2 linked regions of the Nothobranchius furzeri genome follow. Each later gene encodes a partner of the first gene's protein in a complex. Links are inferred from orthologs where the notes say so. Each region holds a gene or a part of one and is shown on either strand. Other genes may lie near its edges.

Region 1 (4,087 bases):
CAAAGGTGACAGATCATTTGCTGCTGTGGCCCCCAGACTCTGGAACTCTCTCTCCCTGAGCCTGAGATCAGTGGACTAAGTGGTCTCATTTAAGCAGCAGCTGAAAACGCATTTGTTCAGGCTGCTTTGGCGTGACCTTGGGCTGATTCTTCATCACTACCTTCTCCTCAGTCAACTTTTTCTACCAATTCTGCCTTTCCTGGGATCCACTGATTACCTCTTTCTTATTCATTTTCTTTTTCCTCATAGTTTTGAAATCACATTTTTTTGTCCACATTTCTATATTTTTAAATCTTTTTATTTTTTTTCTTGTGAAACGCATCAAGATTTTTATCTTGAGAGGTGCTATATAAAACTATTCCTTCATTTTCTTCTGACCTGTAGACTTCAAATGTCGTGTATCTGCCCATAACCACTTTGCTGACCACAATCCTACACATTGCGATCCCAAACAGCTGTGTTAAGTTCTAGATAGCTGTGTACATTGACTTTCATTCATCGTTTTGACCGACTATAATATCATGTCACCACTGAAACTCACCTGGTGCTTTTTCTAAATGTACCAACTCATTTAATCTGGGTGCTTCATTTGTACTTATTTATTTTGTTTTTTACATTGTTCAAATATCTTTTAGTTCACTTTGTGAAATGTTATAGTTCCAAATGGGTAGGTATAGGGCTCAGATAAAGGATCACCAAAACTCCCAAGATGCAAACTTTATCAACAAATCTGCAGAACATACCTGAAATTAAACCAACTGAGACTGAAATACTGGGAAACTTTCAATTCAATGTGGCTAAAATAAACAAATACTAATAAAAATAAACCTCTATGCAGTTTTAGGTTTGTTACATGTATGTTTGTAACAGTAAGAGCAGAATGCAAAGTCACATGTAAGTTTCTGACATGCGCACAATCTTTAACCACCAGACAATCATTTTCTAAAACCAGACCAAAATAATCAGTTATACCTATTCAACTAAACAACTAATTTAGGGTTAAGTCAGTGTTTTCCATTACACACATACAGCCCTGAGACTGATTAGCCACCACTAACTTCCGGTTAACGTTTGCTAACCGGCAAACATAAGAAACCTAAATATTACACGGCAATATCACTATGACAAATACATTTAATTTACAAAATATTACCTCAAGATACCAAGCGGACAAAACAACCGTGTTGTCACGTAATTTCTTAGCGAATGTTGCCTTTCCCGATTATTTCCTTACTCCGAAAGCTCTGGAACAAGACGTACCAACCAACATTAATGCCACTTCCGGGGAAGTAGATGACGTAGCGGAAGTTGTTCGAAGCTCGGCGCTTTTCTTCAAAGCGCCCCATCTGCTTTGGTATCTAATTTTTGTGAGTGACTTACATCTTTGGTAATAGTTTTAAATGTCATTTACGGAAAACTCTTAATAGTGAAAAACATCTACCGGAAGTCGCAGCGTCTCTTTTATTTACAGCTTCCGTGTTAATTTTGTTGTTGCTCGGCTAGCTACGTTCTATGTGCGTAGATGCTTTTGTAAAGCACCCAGGAATTAACACACTTGAAGTGAAACCTACATGTTACTTGTCTGCATTTTGATTCGCGATGTAAAAAACTGTTTATGTATTTACATGGAAAAGACCTGCCAGGAAACGCCAAAAGACAGTAGAGTGGCAGGAATTTGTTTTTCTTTCAGCTGTATTCCTTTACAAGACTCAGCTGAAAGAAAAACACTCAAAAACATAAGATGGGCAAATTATTATAAAGATACTACATTCAGAACAAAATACAGAGTCAAAGAAAATTAAAATATTATGACTTGTGTCCCTAAATGACCAGACATCACAGGAGACACAAAAACAATCTGGTGCAAAACACCTGCAAACTGTAACATTAGCTGTGTGTGTCCCCTGCTGTCCTGAAAGTAGCATGGCCTGGCCTGTTTTTGCTTGTTGACATGGCAAGTTCTGATAAATAAAATATAATTTTATGATAATATAACTGTTTTTTTGAACTCTTATCTTTTTATTTCAGTTCTGCAATGCCTCTGTCCACACAATCTCAAGGTGAAGATGAGCAATACATTTTAGTGACCAGTTTAGATAATGCCCGCAATCTCTCCAATTTACTGAAAGCGATCAGCTTTAAGGACCATGCTGTTTTCACCACAACACCCAACGGCCTGAAAGTCACCGTCGAGGACTGCAAATGTGTGCAGGCAAATGCTTTCATTCAGGTGTGTTTGGTGCTTTTTAAAAAGTTAGTATATTTTTAAAAGAAATCTTTACTTTTAGAATGAATCCCAAATAAATGACAGTTTGCTTGAAACCCTAAACAAAAGTTGTATCTCTTTAGGCAGACATTTTCCAAGAGTTCACCATAAAAGAAGATTTGATCACTTTCCAAGTTAACCTCACAGTTCTGCTCGACTGCCTGAACATCTTTGGGGGAAGCACTTCAGCAGGTCAAATCAGAAACTGAAACTCTATTCCAAACACCTGATGTACAGTTTTAAATGTTTATTTAACCATTTTATAAAATTGCAGGAATTTCAACAGCCTTGCGGATGTGTTACAAAGGGTACGGATACCCCCTGACATTATTCCTGGAGGAGGGTGGTGTAGTCACAGTCTGCAAGATTAACACTGAAGAACCAGAAGAACCGATCGATTTTGATTTTTGCAGCAGCAATGTCACGAACAAGGTTCAATCCTCTGTGAAATCTGTTGAAAAATAAGATAAAGAAAATAATATATTAGTCATTATGTAAAGAAATGTGCTATCCTTCATTAAATCACACCTGTAAAAACACTAAAGCATTTTTAATCTGGTGTAATTTTAAAGGTGATCCTGCAGTCGGAGAGTTTGAAGGAAGCCTTTTCTGAGCTGGATCTGACCAGTGAGATGCTGCAGATCACCATGTCCCCCAGCCAACCGTACTTCAGGTAGACTGTCCAAATTATACTCAGTATTTACTTCCTGGAGCAATCTTTTGCCAGCATTCCATCCACATCTTCCATCCTTGCCCCTACTAGACTCTTGAGTTTCATTTATCACAGATGCCTCTTTCTGTCTAATGGATGATCTGTTTTTGTCCAACTTTTCAGGCTGTCTACATTTGGGAGTTCTGGAAGTGCCCATTATGATTATTCTAAGGATTCAGATATGATGGAGCTGTTCCGGTGCAAGGAGACACAAACCAACAGGTGAGCGCAGTCAGGCTGTAAAAGTGCTTTTATTACATCAGTGGTGTCTCACGGTGCATGTGAGACACTATCCAGCATGTTTTAGTTGTTTCCAGCTCCAACACACTTAGTTGAATGACTAATCCTTCATTTACTCTGAGTGCAGAACGGGAGCTGTACGCATTCCTGTCAGGAAATTTACAGATCCACCCAGATCCTGATACGGAGTTATTTCCAGATGACACAGATTTTCATGAAGTTAAAGAAATTACATTAGCCAGACAGGAAGTGAGACGTTGGTGAACAAAGTGCATCTGGTATATTTTAAAATAAAATGTGTGTTGCATTGTTTTATGGCGTTTTTATTATTATCAACAGGAAAACCAGTACACAGTATAGAATAGCTCGTGTTAAATTTACAGGTATACATTTGAATGTATTGTGTCAGATTTCTTACGTGAGGTTTGGTGCTCTCGCTGGAGCAAATTTCCAGAGGTGTTCTGCTGTTGGTGTACTTGGTCCGTACAGCGGCTGTGTGGAAACCAGATTACATCCGTTCCACACCCGGTGTAAGTCACCCGATTAAAATCAGGTGTGGTAAGGCAGAAGCCTCTGAAGCATGCAGGATGGTGGCCGTCCAGCACCAGGATCAGACATCACTGTTTCACGTAAAAAAGAAAAAAAAAACTGTCACATCACTTTAGGAGGAAGTTCGTTTCCATGTTACTCAGCTCCTGATATTAGACCCTGTAGAGTTCCTGCTTCCTTATGGTGGCTGCAGCAGAGCCACGTTCATTGTCTTTCTTTGCTGCTTTCATGCATCTGTGTGTGACAACAAAAATCTGGTTACGTTTTCTTGCTCTATGTTCCTCCTCCTGTGGCAGATACAAGATGTCCTTGCTTAAGCC
Region 2 (4,120 bases), on another chromosome or scaffold:
CAGAAAGTTCTTACATAAAACTTTATCTGACTTTGAGCTCCAGGCAGAAACTCTTCAGACTTTTATTTATGATCCCAGAGGTTTTAAAAAAATAAAATGCTTTAAACAGGGCTAGAGTTCATTTGAGTCTCGTCTGATTCTGGTTTAGTTTAATGAATCATAATAGATTTAGTAAATGAATGAAGAACCCAGTGGTTCTGGGAGGAACCCTGCCGCTGCTCCAGAGCTTTAAGGAGCTTAGGAAGGACCTAGACCTGTTTGGTTTCAGGGAAAGTTAAGCTTTTTATTTCTAAAGACCAAAAACAATCAAAACAACACAAGAACAAGGAAAATAGCAGACAGAAAAGGAAAGGTTAGAAAACACAAAACTAAATTTGATTTTATATATTCAGCTAATTTACTTCATCAAACAGCAAATAAAGAGAAGAAATCATGAAAGAAGAAGAAAATATCATTTCTATATTGCCTCTCAAGACAAAAATCACGAGGTGCTTCACAAAAACAAAAAATATAAAAAAGCATTCAGAAAATGTTTAAAAATATATTTAAAATGAGCAAAAAATAGACAAGAAGGGAGATCAGTGGATCCTGAGGAAGGTGGGGTAGGTGGGGAGAGCAGAACAGGAGAGGGTGATGAAGGACACACAAAGCCAGCCTGAACAAGTGAAATAGTGAAATAACTGATGAGCCTCCATACAGAATATCTGTTTATTGGTTTAATCAGTTCAGAGTTGCTGAGATATAAAAGGATTTTATGCTGAAATGAAAACAAATGAAACGGGTTTGTTTTGTCTGTAAATCAGGAGCATAAACAGGATCAGTCCTTTCATTTCGCTTTACTACCCATTCAGAACAAACCCCATTCAGAAAAATTATTTGAGATTTTAAAGTAAAAATAATGTATTATAACATTTATTTGCCTTTAAATTTGGATTTGACCTGCTATCAAATGAGGAAATAAAAAATTTTTGCTCTATTTTCTTCCTTTTTAGCAACTTTTAAAAACATTTTAAGACAAAACAAACTTTTTTTCTCATTTAACTAAAACATATTTAAATTAGCGCCCAAAACTCCTGACTCAGTCCAGAACCTCTGACCCAGGAGGTGGACCCACGGTGGACTGGGTCAGAACCTCTGACCCAGACCAGAACCTCTGACCCAGTCCTCATCTCTTTCTTCCCACCCTCCTGTTCCTGGTCTTTAATTCACTCGAACCTGATTTAAGGTAGAAATTGACTCCTAACTCAAGGGATGATCCAGAACCAACCATGTTTTTATCATTTTAAGTGTCGCCGATTTCTCTGTTAATAGGAACGTTTAACAGAGGAAAGCTGCTGTTTCCGTCGGACCTTTTTAAAGGCGGACACAACAAACTCCCTCCTTTCTCTTCTCTTTAAGTTTAGATTAAAGTTTTTAAAGTCAATATGAAGTTTCGGGGGAAAATCATCGACGTCGCCTGTTTAAACCACTTTAGTCGTGAGTTTTTATAAACGTTTGTCTGGCGGTGCTAACGTGTTAGTAGCTTATGTTAGCCTAACGTGTTAGCTTAACATGTTAGCTCGCTTTCTGTTTTGGTGTTGAGTTCGAATTAAATTATTTGTTATAAAAGCAGTGAATGAAAACCCGTTTATCTTTAAATAAAACATGTTCAGAGTCAGAGAAAACTTTACTATTTAGTCTGAGACGCATTACAGTCGGTCAGTAGTTTTAAAACGTGTTTGTGTCTCCAGGAGTGATCACCACCATCTCTAAGCTGACCAAGACGTGCGTCATGCGGCTGACGCCAGACAACCTGTTCTTTGTTCTGTCCGGTAAAGTGACCAACGGGGGGGTCAGCATGTGGTGTGAGCTGCATCAGGTGAGCTCAGGTGGCTCCTTTAGCCCGGGGGGGGGGGGGGGGGACCAGAACAACAAGACAGCTGTCGGTCTGACATCATGAATGCATCACAGGTGTTGGTAAAGCTGCGGCCCGCGGGCCTTTAGTGGTCCTCCACTTTAGTTCCAGAAGTGTGTTCTTAGTATTCCTCGTGTTTTATTAGCTTTTATTGATCGGTATTGTTATGGTCTGTTGTTGTTGTTGTTTGATTGGTCGTGTTTTAGTCCAGCCTGCGCGGCGCTTTGGGCGGCTCTCGTGTTGTGTTTTAAATGTGCTTTATAAATAAAGTTTCGTACGGTGAGAACATCAGAAAATGTTGAGCTTGACCCAAAGTCAATGGCGCTTTTCCTGGTAACTGAGAACACAAACGCATCACGAGTCAGAACCAGGGGCCTGATGGTACCAGAACATACTGGTATGAGGTCCAGGCCGTGACCGGGCTAATGCCAAGTGCTTCCTCCCTCCAGGCCAACTTCTTCGATGAGTTCCAGATGGAGGGCGTGTCCTCGGAGTTTAATGAGATCTGCTTGGAGGTGACGCCAGAAAACCTGTCCAGAGCCCTGAAGACGGTCCAGAACGCCAAGTCGGTCAAAGTCAAGCTGACCAAGAAGCACTGTCCCTGTCTGACTGTCGCCGCCGAGCTGGTGAGACAGGCCGAGGACCACGGACTCTGGTTCTGCTGCGCTGGCTCCATAAATGTTCTGATTCTCATATAAATCATCTCCAGAATGTTGAAGGTTCTGGTTTAGAGGTTCAGATGCAGCATACTGGTTCTGAGTTAGTCTAATCGGGCTCAGTTCATGACCCTGATCTCCCTCTGACCCGTCCAGCCCTCCCTGTCCAGCAACAGTCGGGTCGTTACCCACGACGTTCCGGTTGAAGTCGTTCCCCGGAGTCTCTGGCACGAGTTTAAAGAACCAAGCATGCCGGACTTCGACGTGAGCTTGATTTGAATCTTTGTTAAAGTTTTGGGTTCCTGAAGCGGGCCCGTCTCACTGCTTGTCTCTGCAGGTGAGCATCTACCTGCCGCCTCTGAAGACCATGAAGAACGTCGTCGACAGGATGAAGAACCTCTCCAACTTCCTGGTAGGATCAGTTCCCAGATGAGGAACTTTAACGGCCACCAGGTGGCGCTGTTGGGCCAGAACCCGTCAGTTCTGCAGCGATTTAAGAATATAATCTTTCATTCAGTTAACACTCAACAAAGGTGAAGATGTTTGAGTCAGCCAACAGAGAAACTGATCTGCAGCCTACGAGTAATTCTGTCAATGAGACTCGTTAGTTTAACTAGTTCCTGGTTAAAAATCCGAGTTAAACTTCCTGAAAGCCACATCAGGAGAGCTTAAGCTGCCGGTTTGATGCAGATTAACGTTTAACTCCAGGTGATGGAGGCCAATCTGAGCGGAGAGATGAACCTGAAGATCGAGACCGACCTGGTTTCTGTCACCACTCACTTCAAAGACCTGGGGAACCCTTCATGGGGTAAAACATCTGGACCCATCCGCCTACCGGTTCCTCAGATTAACCCCAACGTGGTGGAGGTCACCAGAATGACTCCTCATGTCTCCACAGGAGACGCCGCGTCGCAGGATGGCGGCGCGTCTCAGAGCAGGGACCCAGAGGCCATGGCGGAGGTCCGGGTGGACATCAGGAAGCTGCAGCAGTTCCTCGTGGGTCAGCAGGTCAACCCCAGCAAAGCCATGTGCAGTGAGTTGAGTCTTAAAGCAGTTAGAGCCAGAGGAGACCCCGCCCGGTGCTCCTTACAGGACTGATCAGATCCTAGCGAACCCAGCATGTGATCATGTCTAAAACCAGATTATTTCTGACTAGAAACTCAGATTACAGAAGCGTGTGATAATCTGAGTTCAGGTTTCTGGTCTCCTCAGACATCGTCCATCAGAGCGTGGTCCACCTGATCCTGCTGCACGATGACGTCTCTCTGCAGTATTTCATTCCTGCTGTGGCCTGAAGCTCCTGCAGGCTTCTGTGGAGTTTCAGTTGGGAGACAAAAACCGGCTGGAACCAGTTTCTCTGAGCTGGTCCTGTTGGTGACGTGAAGAGCCAATCAGCAGACAGGAATGGCTCTCCGTGGGTTTTCTGTGTTTAATAGTAATTCCGATTCCTGCCGAGATGACGGGAAAACTCACATTTACACGAGTTTGTTGGATCAACGTCTGATTAAATAAAACTTGTTTACAGTTTTGTGTTTTTATTACATTTATTTTTATTTTAGAGCTAAATCAG

The links. The genes of interacting proteins can lie anywhere in the genome.
Region 2: the proteins of rad1 (region 1) and hus1 are in contact, whole or in part, in a crystal structure (PDB 8GNN), measured with the Homo sapiens proteins. The link is inferred for Nothobranchius furzeri from reciprocal best matches to the Homo sapiens genes RAD1 and HUS1. Residues at the interface, in NP_002844.1 of Homo sapiens: Asn85, Val88, Asp91, Cys92, Ser94, Ile95, Phe96, Gly97, Ser98, Gly127, Val128, Val129, Thr130, Val131, Cys132, Lys133, Ile134, Asn135, Gln137; in NP_004498.1 of Homo sapiens: Thr165, Ser168, Val169, Lys172, Met173, Asn175, Ile176, Glu197, Leu198, Val199, Cys200, Val201, Thr202, Thr203, His204, Phe205, Lys206.

The regions. Positions count from the first base shown.
Region 1 is NC_091746.1:58,354,901-58,358,987, forward strand, and holds the start of rad1 (cell cycle checkpoint protein RAD1), read left to right. Parts: upstream 1-1,277; 5' UTR 1,278-1,367; intron 1,368-2,028; 5' UTR 2,029-2,035; coding exon 2,036-2,230; intron 2,231-2,349; coding exon 2,350-2,458; intron 2,459-2,540; coding exon 2,541-2,698; intron 2,699-2,838; coding exon 2,839-2,939; intron 2,940-3,101; coding exon 3,102-3,200; intron 3,201-4,063; coding exon 4,064-4,087. UniProt on the Homo sapiens protein: Component of the 9-1-1 cell-cycle checkpoint response complex that plays a major role in DNA repair. The 9-1-1 complex is recruited to DNA lesion upon damage by the RAD17-replication factor C (RFC) clamp loader complex.
Region 2 is NC_091747.1:63,761,733-63,765,852, reverse strand, and holds hus1 (checkpoint protein HUS1), read left to right. Parts: upstream 1-1,315; 5' UTR 1,316-1,424; coding exon 1,425-1,476; intron 1,477-1,730; coding exon 1,731-1,858; intron 1,859-2,343; coding exon 2,344-2,520; intron 2,521-2,706; coding exon 2,707-2,814; intron 2,815-2,887; coding exon 2,888-2,962; intron 2,963-3,258; coding exon 3,259-3,358; intron 3,359-3,448; coding exon 3,449-3,583; intron 3,584-3,762; coding exon 3,763-3,845; 3' UTR 3,846-4,078; downstream 4,079-4,120. UniProt on the Homo sapiens protein: Component of the 9-1-1 cell-cycle checkpoint response complex that plays a major role in DNA repair. The 9-1-1 complex is recruited to DNA lesion upon damage by the RAD17-replication factor C (RFC) clamp loader complex.